Schizosaccharomyces pombe: one gene and its partners. Changing the gene in region 3 together with the main gene of any one other region gives a genetic interaction. Each region holds a gene or a part of one and is shown on either strand. Other genes may lie near its edges. The genes, in order: dbl2, nth1, rad55 and top2.

Region 1 (5,069 bases), on a different chromosome or scaffold from region 3:
GTAAAATCAATAGGCATGAAGATAGGCGTATTATTCCTTAAAGATAATCGGTGTCTCAAACTACGAGAAGTCACTGCCAAATTCGAATTATTGGATAACAAAAATATTAATCTTAAAACTTCTAAAGGTAAAGACTCAAAAACCGTTAACGCTCTAGCTTTTCCATCAGTCAAATTATTTTTGACCTTTCTTTTCGTAATTTTTTCATTATAGTCATTTTTTATGGTCTGTTTTCGCTTTTTACCCATCTTTAACAAGATTTTTGGAGCTCACCAACAGACACTATTTAGTGCTGAAAAATTTAAACATGTATAGAAAATAAATGACTACAAAAGATAATTTAACTTAAAATATTTACAACATTTTCATAATAACCCAAATAGTTGGTTTTTTAAAAGAAAAGAATAAATCTGATACTTATTTGCTCAAAGGTTCAAAGAAGAAACTCAAGGTTTTGAAAAAGCAATGTATGTGCTACTAAAAAATGAAAATCAAAACCTAGAATTGTACTAACAACACCAAAAACAAGCTGAAATCTAATGTTTAAAAAAAAAAAATTAATTATATGTAAAAGAGCTAAATAAGTATAGCTAAAACCTAAATGAACTATGGAAAAATAAATGTTGATAATAATACATGAAGGAAACCAGAAATCAAAATTCAGTACTGTTTTTTGAATTAAAAATTATATGTAACAAAGTCGGCTTGAGAGAGAAGTTTCAACGTACGAAAGAAAAATTAATTTCAAATAAAGTCACCATCTTCGTCCGAATCGAGATCGCGTCCTTGTGTAGTCATGGCATGCTTAAATTTTAGCATTTTTAACTTTGCCCTTTTGATCTTGCTACTCGTTGAAGCAAGTGTTACTGTATTTACAAATGGCAAATCCGTAATGTTTGACGAAAAAGGCTCAATAGGTAACGAACAAGACTCTTGAAAAGTTGGTAAAATAGGAGATTTCTTTCCCGCTTTAGAAAAAATATCCGGAATTTTGGTAAGTATTTTCGGAGGCTTTTGGTTTTTGCTGGGTGAGAGATTTACAGCTCGAACAGTAGGCGAGGATGAAATGGTATCCGAAGGAGAAGAGTCCGTTTCAATAGCATTAGGAACATTTCCTTTTTTCTTTTGGACTTGGTCCGAAGAAGAAACAGTAAACGAAGGGACATTAAAAGGGCTAGAAAATACCGACACATTTCTGGATTTCGAGTTTTTAGGCAACGACGAATGTTCCCCTGAAGATATTATAGAAGTAGCTCCAAAACCGTCTTTTCTTTTCGAACCATTTGCATATTTAGGATATATCAACAAGCCTGTTCTCAGCGATACACCTGAATGTTTGGCCAAGGAAGGATGTTTGGCATGTTCAAGCACAGTAGAAGGTGAAACGTTAGGATTGACTGCATTGTTGGATTGTAGAAAGATTGAAGAAGAAGCACTAGATCCATTAAGTTCGTTTGAGCGAAGGGACGTGCCTAAGTGAGAGTGACTCCTACCAAACGAGGACGAAGATGCTGGTTTAACTAAAGGAGATGAAAAAGACGGTACACGAAACTTCACGGGTTGAAAGGCTTTTTTGTTGGGCAAAGCCAAAGGTGTTAAAAGAGATGACGAATCTAGCGAAGGAATGTGTTCATCCTCTTCTGATGCTGCATCTAGAAAATCAGGAGAGTTTGGTATTTCATTATCAGTTGTTTCTGTTACATTTTGAAGCGATGCCAGCTCGGCAGCAGTTTTGACACTTCTTTCGTACAAGTTTTTTGAGGGGTCGGTAACTGTGATATTAATAAAGTTTTGTCGTTTCCCCGTGGGTTTCCGAAGCAGAGGTAACGGAAGGCGAGTCAAACGGAGACGTTTAGAAGTAGGACTGGGTTCTGCAACAGAAGAATCTTGTCTTTGATGATCATCATTTAGCCCATCGTTTTTGTTGGAAGGTATGGTATTACAAGCGCGGGAAGAATGAGGAGATCGAGCATGATTATTAGAAACTTCTTCATTTCCATTTTCTAATGCCTTCACGGAGACACTTACGTTATCATTACTTAGGTTTTGTAACAAATGACCAGCATTTGAATTATTTAGAGTGGTAAAATCATCTGCCTCGAGATCGGCAGAAGGGGAAGAAAAAAAGTCAGAAGCTATGTCGTCTTCTCCAAATTCTTCTACAGGATCTTCAACCAAGGTGCCATTAAAAGACTTGGGTTTTGACAAAACAGGGATATATGCAATTTTCGAAGGTTTCGGTAGCGCAGTTACGGATGAGTTAGATGGGGGATAGGGAGAGGTATTGTTAGCTCGATTAGATTCCTCAACAGAAGAAGCTAGATATGAGTTTGGTCTAAACTTAGCTTTGGGTTGTATTTCCGGTGTTACTGACAGTTGATGCTTACTTGAACATCTCAAACTACCAATATCTGAGTCATCTACTCCATAAGATTGCAAATTTGCGTTCCGGAAGATCGTGGATTTTGTTGAATTTGTATGATGAGCGTGTGTTTTTAACATATTTGACGATAAAGCACCATTTGAATTGTTAGATACATCTGAGTTAGCGGAGTGAAATGGAGGCTGGAATGGTTTTAATAAATAAGCTGGCCTCTTCCCTGTCTCACTCAATTTTGATTTCCTCGGTATAGGTGGAATATTCGCTTCAGTAGTTGTTTGTAAATTCTCAACGTAAACAATAGTTCTATTAAATTCAATTTCAGAATCCAGAACAATTCTCTTGTTGTTAAGGAAAAAATCATCTACGACTCGGTTATCAGAATCGTAGAGAATTCCACGATTATTGAAGCTGTGGAAGCGCATTGTCCCATCTTTCCAAACTTTTACTTTTTTTGCTTTATCAGACGTCCACAATACTTGATAATGAAAAACATTGGAACTTGTATCCATAGAATATAAGTTTTAAAGCCTGTAAAGGCAGTTCCGAAAGGTGGCTTACGAAAAGCTTAATATTGTTGAAAAAAACTCACAAACCACCCTATTTAATAATTAATTAAAGAATAAGAGTGAGAATATCTATTTCATGTATAAACCTCATTTGAGCATTAATTGCTCTCGCTTTAGGAATGGGAATTACGTGCTTTTGTTGGATGGTAGTTAGGAAATGGTTGGTATACAGCAGAAAGTTGAAATCTAGGAAAGTAAATGATCTCAAGCCAGAAAATTACATCTTTGTAGAATCCTTAAACAAGGTTTCCTTTTCTTTTCTTTTTCTTTATGAACTACAAACGAGTTGAGCTTTTGGTTATTGATATGAGGTACTTGTTTACACGCCGAAATGATTGAAGGTAACTTTATAATACGCAAGCAGAAGCAGATTATCTCTTGAGATGGTTTCAAGAGAGATGCTTATTTTTATTAATTTTACTAATCTACAAGGTCTAATATTTGATGGGTTTTTCTTTAGTAAAAGGTCTCTTAGTGCCCAAGGAAGCAAAACTGTTAGATAATTTTCAATATCCTGTATCGAGAAACGGAAACAATGGTTAATAATCCCGATTGATAGTTTCATAGGGACAGACTGTGTGTATACATAATGATATATAAAAAAAGATGTCTTTTTTCACCTTAAACCATGAAGTTTACAGTTGAGCTTACAGAGGCAGATTGCTTCAAATATTCGTAATGTAAAATTATTTATCTTGTAAATTTGTATCTATCGTCGCATTATAATAGAGAATCTAAACATAGCAGTTGGAGATAAAACTGATTCTTTTGTTCTTCTATCGCTTTTGAGGTTTGCAGGCAAGAAAATTCATCAAAGATGATTGATGATACGATTAGGTGCAAAAGTACTTATGTTATAATTTTAGCAACATAAAAGGCCTATAGAGGGTAATTCTGCTCGAAATCTTGAACTTGCAATTCTCATCACCATGTCGAAGATAGGTACAAATTAAGTTATTAAAGTTGGTTTAAGCGCACTGATAGAAATTTACCTAAAATTTAGTACTTGGACGAAATTTAGGAGAAAAAAGCCCAAGAAGATGAAGAAAGTTGTTTCATTGTAATAATAAACCTGAAATCTTTTGTCAATTCTAATTAATACCCTTTCAAAAAAGAAGACTGATCTTTGCAATCACTAAAACTATTAAATTTATTGAGCAGCTGAAGAATCATCTGTCTATAATTTGCAACAAGAAGTAACTGAAGGGGAGTTAAAAAATGAGTATCAACCATTATGGCATCTGTCGCTTTGCTTCTTCTTCTTTAAGCTAAGTAATTTCGATTATATGCTCCAAGAACTAAGTATATTAATTAAATCATGAAATATTTTCAAGGATAAAATTAAAACAATTTTGTACTATTAAAAAAATGTAATTACTGTTGTGCGTATTCCAGATATCAGCTTGCTCTATAATCATCAAAAAACCTGTAATTATAAGCGAGTAACACTAATAAAACCAGACAGACTTTAAATCAAAAAATTTCATTTATTAGCTCGTATATCTGAAAAAGATAGGCAAATTTTTTTATTAAAGGAAGTCCCAGAAATGACTTCACTTGAGAAGATATATCGCTAAAACTAGAATTTGTATTGCAATATCAAATAAAAATTACAATTATTCTGATTTTATAAATCAATTTTTAAGCTATGTAGTAATGTACAATTAATACACATGTAGTTAGAAGAGTCGCCAAAATTTGCATAAGAAGTATTAAGGTTCTTTTTACTAATATCAGAGAGGGTCTTTAAAATTATTTAAATTTTCTTTTTCTTACTTAGGGAAACTGGCATTTTTGCTATATGATGCGAACCCTTTATTTACACTTGACTCTACTATGACAACTACCTCCTGCTCTTACTTACTGCCATAACCGTGAATAGACATTTGAATAGAAACTTCGATCTTCACTCATAGTTGGAACTTTTATAGTACGAAAAAAACATTATAAGTTAAATTACTTGTTTGGGAATAAACCTCAAGTTAAGCATTCAGTTCATTATGGAACGATATGTAACCATCGCATCTTGGTATGCTATAATCATTTTTCGTCTCAATGATCTAACTTCTGTAGTCAGCTGAACCAGTGGGCAATGGACTTTGAGGGAAACCGTCTACGCA
Region 2 (3,948 bases), 960 kb from region 3:
AGTATTTCGATTGACCTCCCTGACTGTACCGAAGACCATGACTTGTTCTATTAATCCTTCCATCGTTTCTTGAAGGTATTAAGTTCTCCCCAGGCTCAAAATTTTGATATACATAACGATCTCCATGTAGAGTTTGCAAACTATCGCACCAGACGTCTTTCAACCCGATTACGTCTTTAAAGGCTTTAAGGAGCGGTAGTCTTGCACAAGACAGCCATGTGGGTGTATCGTAATCCTCGATTCGAAAAGCGTACCAATGTGAGAGGGCAAAAAAGGGCATTTCTAAACACATGAGAACGTTCTGATTTAGTAAGGAGTAAATCCAGCCTGTTCCATTTAAAAGTCCCAGCCAGTTTGTAATGGAAAGAACGGTTTGCTGCCAGTAAGAGGCAAATATAATAGCTTTAACGGAAAGGAATTTTGGGAAAGGGCGAAAAGGAGCGAGCTCTTCATGCAAGCAAACCCAAAAAGTTGTTAGTGAATATAAAGAAAGCGTAATTGAAATGTTATAAACAAGACCTATCCAAAGGTCTGCAGAAGCATAAACAGGTTGATCTTCTCTGTCGTAGACTCCGGTGACTTTTGTTAACAGCACGGCAATCACCAGAAATGGTTTAAGCCAAGTGTATTGTAAAATCCCACGTTTTATAGAAAGGAAGGTGTAAGGATCACTTAGGTCAATATCATCTTGCAAATAATTCAAGGGCCATAACCTAGGACGAGGCAGATGTCCATGCAAACTAATAACTGCAGCCCGTTCTCCGCCAAGATAATCAATTAATAAACAGAAAAAGCAATACAAAGCGAATGCCTAATTTATTGTTAGAAATTATTCCATTAAAACCTCAATTACGCCTCATTAACTAACTAAACTAGTAAACCAACATAGTACAACTCATAACAGCCAAACCACTCTTTCAGTCAACCCCTTTTCAAGCATTTTAAAACAAATCTGCAATATATTGATTGCCAAGGAAGGTACTTCATTCAATGGCAACGGCTAAATGAGAAAAACCTACCTCGTAAATTTCACGAAACGGTTCGAAAATACTTCCAATTTTTTCATTGTATACCGATAAAAACGATACAGAAGAGTAAATTACAATCCTAGCAAAGCATTAGTACATTTCTATATCAGTCAAAGAATTTCAATTTTACGAACATCATCAAAATTCGCACCACAGAACGCTGTAAGACTGGTTTTTTGTAATTTTTCAAATGAGTAATGATAGAAATACATGATAGCACTAAAGCAATGGCTACGAAGAAGCCGCATAATGCGACTATTTCGTTGTCCATGAAATTAGAGCTGATCGTGATGAAGGGACAAAAATGCAGGCAAGGTGGCTACCACAAGCTATAAGGGGGCCTTCTCCAATTCCAAACAGATACTACCTACTACGGGCTTTACGGTGTTTGTACGCATAAGCTATAGATAAAGTACCGAAACTTTGTGATGTGGAAGAGTTCATCGAAGCTAATATTGATTTACCTCTTTAGTATGGATATTGTTTTATAGCAAAAGTAAATTAATAATACTGTCTTACAGGATAATTTGCCCTATAGCTGTAGTACTGCTGTAAAAATCATTTGTTTCCATAATACTAGCAATTCGTGATCTTTAATTAATCTAATTTTTGTTTTTTTTTTAAACTCTACTTTCCTCCCTTCTGTATGATGGAGGACCTAAAGTAATGTCTCCCATAGCATTCTGATGATTCTTAAGCTGACTTTTTGAAAAAGAAGCAGTAAAATATAATGAGTGTTTGTTTCTTAATGCGTAGGAGAATTTCGCCTTGGCATATATATGGCTTAGTTAAAAAATTATTTCTTTTATAAAATTGAGAAACTCCAAGTCAGACTATTACCGCATTGTATTCAAAACAAATCACTTATAAATTTTAATATTTTTGCGCTCACCTGCGTTGTTTCTTGGATGTAATATCGCTAAAGTTCAGTAAATGAGTTGTTGAAGAAAATAAAATCTTTAGCCAAGACTGCAGACAAATTTGTATTTGTTAAGCAATGAGTAAAGACTACGGAACTCCTCCTGAGAACTGGAGGGAGGTTTACGATGAAATTTGTAAAATGAAAGCCAAGGTCGTAGCGCCTGTAGACGTTCAGGGTTGTCATACATTAGGAGAACGTAATGATCCAAAAAAATTTCGATTTCAAACACTGGTGGCATTGATGCTTTCTAGCCAAACAAAAGATATAGTACTGGGTCCTACCATGCGAAACTTAAAAGAAAAATTAGCTGGAGGACTTTGTTTAGAAGATATCCAAAATATTGATGAAGTTTCTCTAAATAAACTAATCGAGAAAGTTGGTTTTCATAACCGAAAAACCATTTATTTGAAACAAATGGCACGTATTTTATCAGAAAAGTTCCAAGGAGATATTCCGGACACCGTAGAAGACCTAATGACTCTCCCAGGTGTGGGGCCTAAAATGGGATATCTATGTATGAGTATTGCATGGAATAAAACTGTTGGAATTGGAGTAGATGTTCACGTACATCGTATATGTAATCTTCTTCATTGGTGTAATACGAAAACTGAAGAACAGACTAGAGCTGCTTTGCAAAGCTGGCTGCCTAAGGAATTATGGTTTGAGCTGAACCATACACTTGTCGGTTTTGGGCAAACAATCTGTTTACCAAGAGGAAGGCGCTGTGATATGTGTACTTTATCTTCTAAGGGCTTGTGTCCTAGCGCCTTTAAAGAAAAAAGTGGCATCACAATAACTAAGAGAAAAGTCAAAACGATTAAAAGAGTCAAAAAAAGACCTGCTTCTGAGTCACCTCCTCTATCTCCACTCTCCCTTCCTACAGATGATTTGTATTACCAAAGCATCGAAGATAAATCACTTATAAAACTTGAGGACTTGGACCCTGTTGATAGTATATCACACATGAATGAACCTTTGAAAAAAGAACCAGCCGCTGATATTGATGTAGATCAGAAGCCACCTGTCGCATTCCATTCAACTACAAAAGAAACTAGGTCACTGCGCAGGTCAAAGCGAGTTGCAAAAAAATCATCCCAGTATTTCTCCCAACAAAGTTTACAAGATATTGAAGATCTGGTTTAATTTATTTTTAGGACCGTAAATTTTGGACAACATAAATCTGTTATTTATTTACATGAATTACTCAAAATTATTTATTCTTTACAACTCCGTCTTTAAACATATTCAAGAACCTTTTGCTACTGACTGTATAGTTATAATATCCTCTACCTTTACTTTTTAATAATTTTTTTAAATCTTGGAATAAATTGAAATCATTAATGTTGTTATACCCTTCAACAAACAATGCAGAATGTAAGATACTCGTTAAATACTACTAAGAACAATTGGAGTTTCGTCGAACATATAATAAGTACAAAAGTTTTCGGTTAAATCCTCTGTGTGAGGCGTATACAGCATCCAATCGATAGGAATGGGGCCGGTTATAGATATGTCAGGGCGCACTGATGGTCGATCGGCATCAAACGTTCTGTTCAGTTCATAGCTGCTACCCCTCGCATCACGTAAAACACGGTTTTTACGGACCAGTCTGTTTAAGCTTCGAGTTATGTTCGAATTTTTAATTTTTCTATTCGAGTATTTACTAGAATATTAGTAATTGACGATGTCAGGAAAATATATAGAAAACTTACGCTTGAATAGTGTTAGTGATAGTAGAAAAAGAAACAGCAGCAGGGAAAGATTCTAAAACTTGTAAAACTATTTCATCTTCATTGCTATATTCTTGTAAGTATTCATCTATGGTAGGAATTTTTTCACTCTCCATGTATTGCTTATCCACTTCAACTGGTTCGGTCGAAGGTAAGGACGTCGAATGCTTGGTTGTTTTCGATTGTGATTCTGTTCCATTATTTAGACTTAGATACTGATCTCCCGTTACAGGTTCATTCATAGTAGCTGTAAAGGCAGACCTTTTGC
Region 3 (3,802 bases):
AAACATACTACCAAGTGCAAAGATCATCATTAGCAAGCAAAGAAAGCCAGGGTCAACGGATGGATTTTGGAAGCTCATGATAAGGTTTAAACGATAACGAAGTAATGTTTCATGGAAAAAGAAAAAATTTGCTTGAACATGGCCATAGAAAGATTTGATAAGAAAATCTGAAACTTCAGGAGGAGGGAGAAGACTCAGCGCTTTTTGAACAGCATTTACATCATGTTCATTCGGAGGATAACTGTGATGGGTATGGGAATACGCGCTCAGCTCGGAAAAAGAAGGATCGACAAGTAGTTCACTTTGAACAGAGTCAACGAATGCTTCACCAGCAGAAGCTCCTATATAACGGGATTCGCCGTTAGAGTCAACTTTTATTTTTCCAATTAATTTCATGATTTCGTCAACGCTTTGATCGCTAGCATCAGCATTGATTCCATTGTTCGTATCCTCTGCTACGACCGTTGGATCTTGCTGAATTTGTGAACAAACAAGTGCACCTTGTGTAAGGGTATCCACGTCACGTTGACTATTGGTGCTTTCACTATTGAGGGAAAAGACATCTGAAGATAATAGTGATTTTTGGTTGCTTATACGATTGCAAACTTCAATCAATGAAGGTGTAGTATAAGTCGAAACTTTGGTGGAACAAAGACGTTCAACAATATATTCTAAACACTTGTATCTTTTTGAAAGATCAATAAAGTAGTCCTTAGAATAATCCATTTCTTTTTCATCCTTTACTGGATATGTGCATTCCAAATTATTGGAAGCACAAGCTTTGCATGGGTTTGCCCCGTCGCAACGAACTTTCCGGGCTTTGCAGTTAAAGCAGGCTAGAACCACCCTTCTTCGTCTCTCCATAGGAACACGACGTCTCCTATTATGCTGCTCCTGCTTCATGGCTTCGAACAGAACCGCCGTATTTTCAGGTGAAAATTCATGGCTCATTTTCCCCGTTTATGTTAGTAAAATACCAAGTTCATACCAATTTCCATAAATTTAAAATTCTTTTTCTATATTACAGAATTTCAATTCTGAAAAGAGAAAATGCTTAACTATGGCAATGACTTGGCAGAACTTGATTAGTAAATGCCTAAAAGAAAAAATTGTAGTACCCCAGCTCCTATGTTCTACTGGAGGGCGTAATTTAGTGTAGTGGTACGAACCTTTTTTATCAACGAAATCTAATATATACACATATTATTAGTATATGAGACCTTGTTTATACATAACTTTAAGAAAAAATCTAACCGATTTTAAATTTTTGAAAAATAAATACTGCTTGTATTGTACTTTGAAAATGGGAACTTCCGTCAATTTCTTTTCGTTGACGAGCTTATACGTTTATTGAAGCATGGCATGCAATCGATTTTTGTTAATAATTTTCCATTTTAGTATTTCTTCAATAAAATGAGTATTGTGTACATAGTAAACTAATTGCACACATATCGGTCGACACGCTATTTCATAAACGGAATGTAGTACGAAAATAATAGCTATTTTGATTAAAACCCTCTTGAGTTTCAATACAAATGTAAATGTTGCGTTATATGAACCCAAAGTTTAAAGTTCAAAGTCAAAGGCAGTAATGAATCATAGATTCAAATGAACTTGAGCTTACTCTTGCATTCCTGTTGACCTACCTAGTCAAATTTCCCATTATGTATAAAGGTTACGAATTTGTTACCTTCTAATCTGCTTAACCTTAAGACTAAAATAATTTATTCCTTATAAGAAACAACATTTAATGAAATGATTGCAAAGTAAAACACGTAGGATTTCCTTTGTCGTTCTACCAACACCTCCAAACCTTACAACGTATCGTTGTTTCTCATGTAAAGGGAAATTTTCCTATATCCTTTTTATGCTGTTATCAATTTAATATAAACTGTATCGCTGTTATTCTAGTAGGTCGCACTGTGCTGGATTTAACCTTCATTGAAATAAATGCTGTCTAGTCAACGTATGCGACTTCCAGCCTAGCTAACTGTGTCTAATACTTTTTAGATCGTCTAGTGACTCAACCTGCTATTCGTGCGTACGAAGCATTTTCTGCTCCAGGTTTCGGCTTTAATTCAAAATTATTGGATGATGCGTTTGGAGGAAGTGGTCTTAAAAGAGGGTATATTTCTGAAGTATGTGGAGCACCTGGGATGGGAAAAACAAGTTTGGCTTTACAGATTACTGCAAACGCTCTTCTTTCCGGTTCTCGTGTGATTTGGGTCGAAACTTGTCAACCAATTCCCATGGAGAGACTTCGTCAACTATTAGACAATCACGTCCCTTCTTCCCAAGATGAAGAGGAAAAATGCGATACTGATGAGTTATTAAATCTTCTCGATGTTGTATATGCACCCAATTTAGTGAATATTCTAGCTTTTTTACGAAATTTCGATCAAGAAAAACATCTTAAAGAAATTGGATTATTAATTATTGACAACCTATCAATGCCTATTCAACTTGCATATCCAACCAGTCCAGAAGATTATGCTTATCTACGTCTTCGTCGTAATACCAGCAAAAAAAGCTCCCTTTCAGATTCATCTCAAAAAGAAAACACTTTGACGTTAAACAAAGAAAATGAGTTCTCGAGTAAAGACGACTCGAATTTTGCATTTCATAACTCCTCTACCAAAACAACAATAAACCGCAGAAAAAAGGCAATCGGTACAATCAGTTCTTTGTTAAGCAAAATTACATCCTCTTGTTATGTGGCTATCTTTGTTACCACCCAGATGACTTCAAAAGTTGTTAGTGGGATAGGTGCTAAGTTGATACCGCTTCTCAGCACTAATTGGTTAGATAATCTATCTTATCGGCTCATTCTTTACAGTAGGCATTCAACTGAAGAATCAAAAGATGGACAGAGTCGTCCCTCTCATCAGCTTCTGCGCTATGCATTCATGGCAAAGCAGCCACCAGCTCATTCTGCAGAATCAGAGTTGGCTTTTCAGTTAACATCTACTGGTATTCAGGATTATCAAAGTATTCCTACCAATAGCTCACAACGACGTAAGAGATCCATTTTGGAATGTGAGTCCTAGGTAAAAATGGTGGCTTCAGTTACGAATTTTTTAGCATAGTGATGGTTGTTTTGCCCATATCTATTAATTTATTATACCTATTCATTACGTTGCATAAACAACTATGAATACTTGTCGAGTGTTGGTCAAAAGTTTCTCAATGATTTATTTGTGATCTCATATCTTTTCATAATGTATCATAAGCTATTTTGTTCGTTCATTTTTATGAAATTGCTAATTGTCATAGAGGAGGGAAATGATTAAGATATCTATATGTTTGCTGATTGACAAGTCCTTATTAATTTTCAATTGTTTAGGTGTCGCATTCAGTGTACGGACAATAATGACATTATGCTTTCGACATATAAATTCCATGTTGACATAGTGACGTCTCAAGCCTAGCTCAAATCTTTAAAACATGGGTTCAAGTCGCTAAAAATCTACCTGAACTTTACAGCTCTTTTGTTACTTTCGAAAGTGTAGTCTAATAAGTCCATTTTGAGCCTGACCTTATTTATACTTCGCTTTGTCTAGTGTGAGTTGGCGGATTAAGTATGTTTTAATGAACATTGTTTCAACCTACCTCTAATTAACATACTAACCTTTTTATTAGTATTTCCTTTCTCTTTTTATATATACATATTTTCAAAGTCTTAAATCGTTTATCAAGTAATTAGCAAGATGATGGGCACTCAACCATCTTACTCTATTCATACGCTTCGCGCGCCTCCTAAAGCGAAACAGAATCAAATTCCTCCCTCTACTACCCGTCGTGC
Region 4 (7,480 bases), on a different chromosome or scaffold from region 3:
GTTAAACGAAGAATTAGCCAATTTGAGTGTTCAATATAGTCACATTCAAAATTAGCTGAGCAAATTCAAATAAACTAAGATTAGGTTGGGTTTCTTTTCAACAATCCCGCTCTAGGATTGTATTTAAATGAAATTATTTTTAATGCTAGATAAAACAATAGAAGTAATATTGGTAAAGTTTTTCTTGATTTTGAGGAACCTTGATGCTTCTCACTCGGACGTATTGGTGATGCTATTTTGACGCTGATTTTAGTTACAGATCAACCGAAACTTTTTTTCTTCTTAGATATTGACTTCTTTGCCACAAAATACTTCTTTTAAAAACGTCTTTCCACTTTCGACTTTGACAAATAATTTTTTTCTCAAGCGAACTTTTTTTAATATACTATTCGATAGGCGAGCAAATATCCAACGTGGATCCGGGGATAAGCAAAGGCCAAATAGAGGTGCAAGATAGCTAGAAATATGATTTTTTTTCAATAAAATGAATTTTAAAATGAAGAGGACGTTGGTGGAGGATAAGTTCAGGAGGTCTGATGTGTTCCTTGGTAAGCGAGAAATAGCCTTATAATGTGGGACACTGAAGAATCAACCTTTTGATCTGCTCTGATCGAGCGGAATATGTTCGCGATGTCCGATTCCGTTTTTTTGGACTATTATACACAGGAAATTAGGGAAGTGATGGTTATGTTAGATGGCTCAAATTTAGGTCAATTAACATTTTGTGCGAATATCCAATGAAAGAAGCCGCCGATCTATTGATCCACTCTTTTCTTCCATTAAATAATTTATCGCTTACTGACTTATGAGCAGCTGTCTGAGATACTTCAAAAAGCATTTTTCTTGCTCAGATCCTACACATTTCGTTTTGGCTATCCAATGCTTGCTTATACCTTGAAAGAGTGACTCCGAATATGCGTTTGTCTTGCGCTTCCATTTTGTAACTCTCCTTATTAAACAATCGACTTCACACTATTTTTCGTCCATTAATGGGAATTGGTTGGCAACATCGATAAATAATGGAAATACTTAAACCCATGCATCAGCTATCTGCTGGGCCTACCATTTTTTGTTACATTTGCAGCTTCTTTTAAGATTTTCAGAAAAAAGTTTATTGCATTTATTAGATGAGTCTGTTGTTTGAGAGTTCTTTCTATGTTTTTGTTCCTGTTTCATACCTGCAATTGTTAAATAGAGGGAGAAGCTATATTCACAAAATTACTATTAAATTGTTTGAACTTAATGATAGTTACATACAACAATGTTTCAAGAACAGCTTAATCGAAATAATATGGATTAATGCTGATGGTACAATCAAGAAGAATTTAAAAAAGCAGTTTCTGTTTCCATCATTGCTTTCCGTTCATCTCTTTTTATCGTGTTTAGCGTTTTTCTTTCAAATGACCAACTGTAATAGGTCACTCAATTCTTTTACAATCTTTGCGAGCATACTCATGAATTATGGATTTATCTAAACATTCATTTTCCATTTTCAAAATCCTTTGTTTATTCCATACTATATAAAATAGCACCAAGAATTTCAATTTTAATTTCAAAGCACAAACATTCTTTATTATACAATTAATTAATTATTACATTTGCTTTACAAATTAGTTACAGCATATGTTCCAAATACGGTTTTTTTACAGACTTCAATTATGTTTTAAGCGCATCCCTATATTAATAACGCACGGAAATTTAGAAATCCTTTCTTTTGCTATTTATTCTTAAAAATAATTTTCTTTTTCTTTTTCCGTAGTAATCAATTCCTCGGTTGCAACTTCTATCTACTTATGTTCTGTTCTCTCTTCCTATCCTTCACCAGCTACCAACTTCAATCATTGTTGGGATAGTTGAACACATAGCCCTTTAGAGCTTTTAAACAAACTATTTAAATTAGTACTATCATACATACAATCTCTGAAGTTTCCATCATACTATTAGTTTTTCGTCACGCGTTTGCTTTGACCGACTTTCTACATACGTGAATCAGTCTGTGGTGATATAAACGCTTGAATATCTATTTAATACTTTTTTAAACCAAAAAATTAATCCAAATTAACAAAAAACATTATATTTGGTATTCATTCGTTCTACCTTCTTTTTTATCCATTACTTTTTTTTCAGGTCACTTCTCCATTCGTTTTTTAATATCGTATACTAAGGGCAAATATCATTTTCTCTTCTTACATATCTTAATTTTGTTATTTGACGTTGCTTAAAGCGTGTCATTATTATATCCATTGATTTTTTAATAATAACGTTTACACGTTGGAATAACCTTTGATTTACTACATATTTCCAACTTAATTTTACAAACTATGTCCATTGATGCGGATTTCTCCGACTATGAAGATGAAGCGTCTGGAGACGAAAACGTTTTACCTAACACAACCACCAAAAGGGTATGCAAGTGTTTGTGGAATTTATTATTATTTTAAAATACTAACAACTTTTTTAGAAAGCATCTACAACATCCTCAAAGTCTCGCGCCAAGAAGGCAAGCACTCCTGACTTAAGGCAAACTAGCTTGACATCCATGACAGCTTCTGAACAGATACCACTAGTTACCAACAACGGAAATGGAAATTCTAATGTATCTACACAGTACCAGCGTCTTACACCGAGAGAGCATGTGCTAAGACGTCCGGATACATACATTGGCAGTATTGAGCCAACGACTTCTGAAATGTGGGTCTTTGACTCTGAGAAGAACAAGCTGGATTACAAAGCAGTGACCTATGTTCCAGGCCTTTACAAGATATTTGACGAAATAATTGTCAATGCTGCTGACAACAAAGTTCGCGACCCAAACATGAATACCCTAAAGGTGACTTTGGATCCTGAAGCAAATGTCATATCAATTTATAACAATGGCAAGGGCATTCCTATAGAGATTCATGATAAAGAGAAAATTTACATCCCCGAGCTTATTTTTGGTAACTTGCTTACTTCAAGCAATTACGACGATAATCAAAAGAAGGTAACAGGAGGAAGAAATGGTTACGGCGCAAAACTTTGCAATATTTTTTCTACTGAATTTGTCGTTGAGACAGCTGATAAGGAAAGGATGAAGAAATATAAACAAACTTGGTATGACAATATGTCCAGAAAGTCTGAGCCAGTGATCACTTCTCTCAAGAAACCCGATGAATACACAAAAATTACATTCAAACCCGATTTAGCAAAATTTGGTATGGACAAGATTGATGATGATATGGTATCTATTATAAAACGCCGTATTTATGATATGGCAGGTACCGTTCGTGAAACTAAAGTTTACCTGAACAATGAACGCATCAGTATAAGTGGATTTAAGAAATATGTGGAGATGTATCTTGCTTCTGACACTAAACCTGATGAAGAGCCTCCTAGGGTAATTTATGAACATGTTAATGACCGTTGGGACGTGGCCTTTGCTGTTTCAGATGGACAGTTTAAGCAGGTTTCGTTTGTTAACAATATTTCTACCATTCGTGGAGGTACACATGTTAATTATGTTGCCAATAAAATTGTCGATGCTATAGATGAAGTCGTCAAGAAGGAGAATAAAAAGGCACCCGTTAAAGCGTTTCAAATAAAAAATTACGTACAGGTATTTGTCAATTGTCAAATAGAGAACCCATCCTTTGATTCCCAAACAAAGGAGACTCTCACCACGAAAGTTTCTGCTTTTGGCTCTCAATGCACATTAAGTGATAAATTTTTAAAAGCTATCAAAAAATCTTCTGTAGTGGAGGAGGTTTTAAAATTTGCTACCGCTAAGGCAGATCAGCAACTCAGTAAGGGCGATGGGGGTTTGCGTTCTCGTATAACGGGTTTAACCAAACTCGAAGACGCAAATAAAGCGGGTACCAAAGAATCCCATAAGTGTGTCCTTATCCTCACTGAGGGAGATTCTGCTAAATCTTTAGCTGTTTCGGGTCTCAGTGTTGTTGGTAGAGACTATTATGGAGTTTTTCCGTTAAGAGGAAAACTACTGAATGTACGGGAGGCTTCTCATTCCCAAATCCTAAATAACAAAGAAATTCAAGCTATCAAGAAAATCATGGGATTCACTCATAAAAAAACTTATACCGATGTGAAAGGTCTTCGTTATGGTCATTTAATGATTATGACAGATCAAGATCATGATGGATCACATATTAAAGGTTTAATTATTAATTATTTAGAATCCTCGTATCCTTCTCTTTTGCAAATTCCTGGATTCTTGATCCAATTTATCACACCTATCATTAAGTGCACTCGTGGCAATCAGGTTCAAGCATTTTACACTTTACCCGAGTACGAATACTGGAAGGAAGCTAATAACAATGGACGTGGTTGGAAAATTAAATACTACAAGGGTTTGGGAACAAGTGACCATGACGATATGAAAAGTTATTTTTCAGACCTTGATCGTCACATGAAGTACTTTCATGCCATGCAGGAGAAGGATGCTGAATTAATTGAAATGGCATTTGCCAAGAAAAAGGCCGATGTGCGTAAGGAATGGCTTAGAACGTATCGACCTGGTATATATATGGATTATACTCAACCTCAGATTCCGATTGATGACTTCATTAATCGAGAGCTTATCCAATTCAGTATGGCTGATAATATCCGTTCGATTCCTTCAGTAGTAGATGGCTTGAAGCCTGGTCAGCGTAAAGTTGTCTATTATTGTTTTAAACGCAATCTCGTCCATGAAACTAAAGTCAGTAGACTTGCCGGCTATGTTGCTAGTGAAACTGCATACCACCATGGCGAGGTTTCGATGGAGCAAACTATAGTTAATCTTGCCCAAAATTTTGTTGGCAGTAACAACATTAATTTGCTGATGCCTAATGGACAATTCGGTACACGATCTGAGGGTGGAAAAAATGCATCGGCTTCAAGGTATCTAAATACAGCTTTATCACCCTTAGCACGTGTTTTATTTAATTCCAATGATGACCAGCTTCTTAATTACCAAAACGACGAAGGCCAGTGGATTGAACCAGAGTATTATGTGCCAATTCTTCCCATGGTACTTGTCAATGGAGCCGAAGGTATTGGTACTGGCTGGTCTACTTTTATTCCTAATTATAACCCTAAGGATATAACTGCTAATTTAAGACATATGCTTAATGGCGAGCCTTTGGAAATTATGACTCCCTGGTACCGCGGCTTTCGTGGAAGTATAACGAAAGTTGCGCCTGACAGGTACAAAATATCTGGTATAATTAACCAAATTGGTGAAAACAAAGTAGAAATTACTGAATTGCCTATACGATTTTGGACTCAGGATATGAAGGAGTATCTGGAGGCTGGTCTTGTTGGTACGGAAAAAATTCGTAAATTCATCGTGGACTATGAAAGCCATCACGGTGAAGGAAATGTTCACTTTAATGTCACGCTTACCGAAGCTGGCATGAAAGAAGCATTAAATGAATCCTTGGAAGTTAAGTTTAAACTGTCGCGTACTCAAGCAACGAGTAATATGATTGCTTTTGATGCATCTGGACGGATCAAGAAGTATGACAGTGTTGAAGATATTTTGACCGAGTTTTACGAAGTACGTTTAAGGACATACCAGAGACGTAAAGAGCATATGGTTAATGAATTGGAAAAAAGGTTTGATAGATTTTCAAATCAAGCGCGGTTTATTCATATGATTATAGAGGGGGAGCTTGTAGTTTCAAAAAAGAAGAAAAAGGATCTCATTGTGGAGCTGAAGGAAAAGAAGTTTCAACCTATCAGTAAACCAAAGAAAGGGCATTTGGTTGATTTAGAAGTTGAAAATGCTCTTGCTGAAGAAGAACAATCTGGTGATGTTTCGCAAGACGAGGATTCAGATGCCTACAATTACCTTCTTTCAATGCCTTTATGGTCTTTGACCTATGAACGGTATGTGGAACTTCTCAAGAAAAAGGACGAAGTAATGGCCGAACTGGATGCTTTGATTAAAAAAACTCCTAAAGAATTGTGGCTTCATGATTTGGATGCATTTGAGCATGCTTGGAATAAGGTTATGGATGATATTCAGAGAGAAATGTTAGAAGAAGAGCAATCCTCTAGAGATTTTGTAAATCGAACGAAAAAGAAGCCTCGAGGTAAATCCACTGGTACTAGGAAACCCAGGGCTATTGCCGGATCCTCCTCAAGTACTGCTGTTAAAAAAGAAGCTAGCAGCGAATCCAAACCATCTACAACAAATCGAAAGCAACAAACTTTACTTGAGTTCGCAGCGTCGAAAGAACCTGAGAAATCATCTGACATAAACATTGTCAAGACAGAGGATAACTCTCATGGCTTATCAGTTGAAGAAAATCGCATATCTAAGAGCCCGGGATTGGATAGCAGTGATAGTGGAAAATCAAGAAAAAGAAGTCAATCTGTTGACTCTGAAGACGCAGGTAGTAAAAAACCCGTCAAAAAAATAGCAGCCTCGGCGTCTGGAAGAGGAAGAAAGACTAATAAACCAGTTGCTACTACCATATTTTCTTCAGACGATGAAGATGATTTGTTGCCTAGCAGTTTGAAACCTTCCACCATAACATCCACGAAGGCTTCTGCGAAGAATAAAGGGAAAAAAGCAAGCTCGGTAAAGAAACAATCACCTGAAGATGACGATGATGATTTTATTATTCCAGGTAGTAGTTCAACTCCAAAAGCTAGTTCGACTAACGCAGAGCCACCAGAAGATTCAGATTCTCCGATTAGAAAGAGGCCAACCAGAAGAGCAGCGGCTACAGTGAAAACACCTATTTACGTTGATCCCTCGTTTGATAGCATGGATGAACCCAGCATGCAAGATGATTCTTTTATCGTCGATAACGATGAGGATGTAGACGATTATGATGAGAGTGATTAGCTTCTAAAATTTGGTGTTTTCAAACGCTATTTACAGTACAATCTGAAAAAATTGGATGAACATTGTAAATGGTAGGATACGAGTTCCAATTAATGTATTTTTTAAGTATTACACTTAGCTTATTAATTTTATATATACATTCTACCTCTGTGGGTTTAAAGACAACTCGTACACATACTCAAATTATTTATGAACATTATAATGCATATTCGTACTGTCTATTAAACATTTTTTTGACATTAAAAATTTCGTTTACTAACGTAGAAAGCGCTGATAATTGAGGCTACTATTTTAATATCTAGAAACAAAGATTCATTAATTAATTAAGTAAGCTCCAGGATACTTGTATATTTCGTTAAAAAAGCGCAATTTCAACAATTCCTATGAACATCCATGATTTCATCACAAAATCAAACATATCAGGATTTAACGTGAATTATTTGCTTTCTTGTGATTTTCATCTGATTTCTGGTCATTTACGTTACTGTAAACAAGCTTTTTAAAAAAAGGATTTTTTACGCAATATTATCGATATCCCAATCTGTAGTATAAAAAGTGCAACAGTGTTGAGTTTCCCGAAACCAGGCATTTTTGCGGTAGGGTCTGAAACTTTCACGAAACCATTTCACAACAAAACTTCTTCAA

The links.
Region 1: of rad55 (region 3) and dbl2, a mutation in one rescues a mutant of the other (synthetic rescue), as found in Schizosaccharomyces pombe (3 studies listed by BioGRID, with this or other methods).
Region 2: mutations in rad55 (region 3) and nth1 impair growth when combined (synthetic growth defect), as found in Schizosaccharomyces pombe (2 studies listed by BioGRID, with this or other methods).
Region 4: mutations in rad55 (region 3) and top2 impair growth when combined (synthetic growth defect), as found in Schizosaccharomyces pombe (one study listed by BioGRID).

Annotation. Positions count from the first base shown.
Region 1 is NC_003421.2:308,362-313,430, reverse strand, and holds dbl2 (DNA recombination protein Dbl2), read right to left. Parts: upstream 3,118-5,069; 5' UTR 2,893-3,117; coding exon 745-2,892; 3' UTR 536-744; downstream 1-535. Other genes in the region: SPOM_SPCC736.02 (uncharacterized protein), read right to left, coding at 1-248; qns1 (glutamine-dependent NAD(+) synthetase), read left to right, coding at 4,950-4,978, 5,023-5,069.
Region 2 is NC_003424.3:1,105,918-1,109,865, reverse strand, and holds nth1 (DNA endonuclease III), read left to right. Parts: upstream 1-1,989; 5' UTR 1,990-2,025; coding exon 2,026-3,093; 3' UTR 3,094-3,336; downstream 3,337-3,948. Other genes in the region: transporter Hfl1, read right to left, coding at 1-811, 1,020-1,107, 1,163-1,299; Lsd1/2 complex PHD finger domain-containing protein Phf2, read right to left, coding at 3,337-3,613, 3,663-3,948. UniProt on the Schizosaccharomyces pombe protein: Bifunctional DNA N-glycosylase with associated apurinic/apyrimidinic (AP) lyase function that catalyzes the first step in base excision repair (BER), the primary repair pathway for the repair of oxidative DNA damage.
Region 3 is NC_003424.3:2,065,913-2,069,714, reverse strand, and holds rad55 (DNA recombination mediator, RecA family ATPase Rad55/Rhp55), read left to right. Parts: upstream 1-1,800; 5' UTR 1,801-1,950; coding exon 1,951-1,966; intron 1,967-2,010; coding exon 2,011-3,047; 3' UTR 3,048-3,273; downstream 3,274-3,802. Other genes in the region: SPOM_SPAC3C7.04 (transcription factor), read right to left, coding at 1-951; eisosome BAR domain-containing protein Pil2, read left to right, coding at 3,711-3,802. UniProt on the Schizosaccharomyces pombe protein: Required for radiation resistance and meiotic viability and acts in recombination and recombinational DNA repair pathways.
Region 4 is NC_003423.3:1,975,608-1,983,087, reverse strand, and holds top2 (DNA topoisomerase II), read left to right. Parts: upstream 1-1,820; 5' UTR 1,821-2,321; coding exon 2,322-2,405; intron 2,406-2,431; exon of another isoform or gene 2,432-2,461; coding exon 2,462-6,835; 3' UTR 6,836-6,927; downstream 6,928-7,480. UniProt on the Schizosaccharomyces pombe protein: Control of topological states of DNA by transient breakage and subsequent rejoining of DNA strands. Topoisomerase II makes double-strand breaks.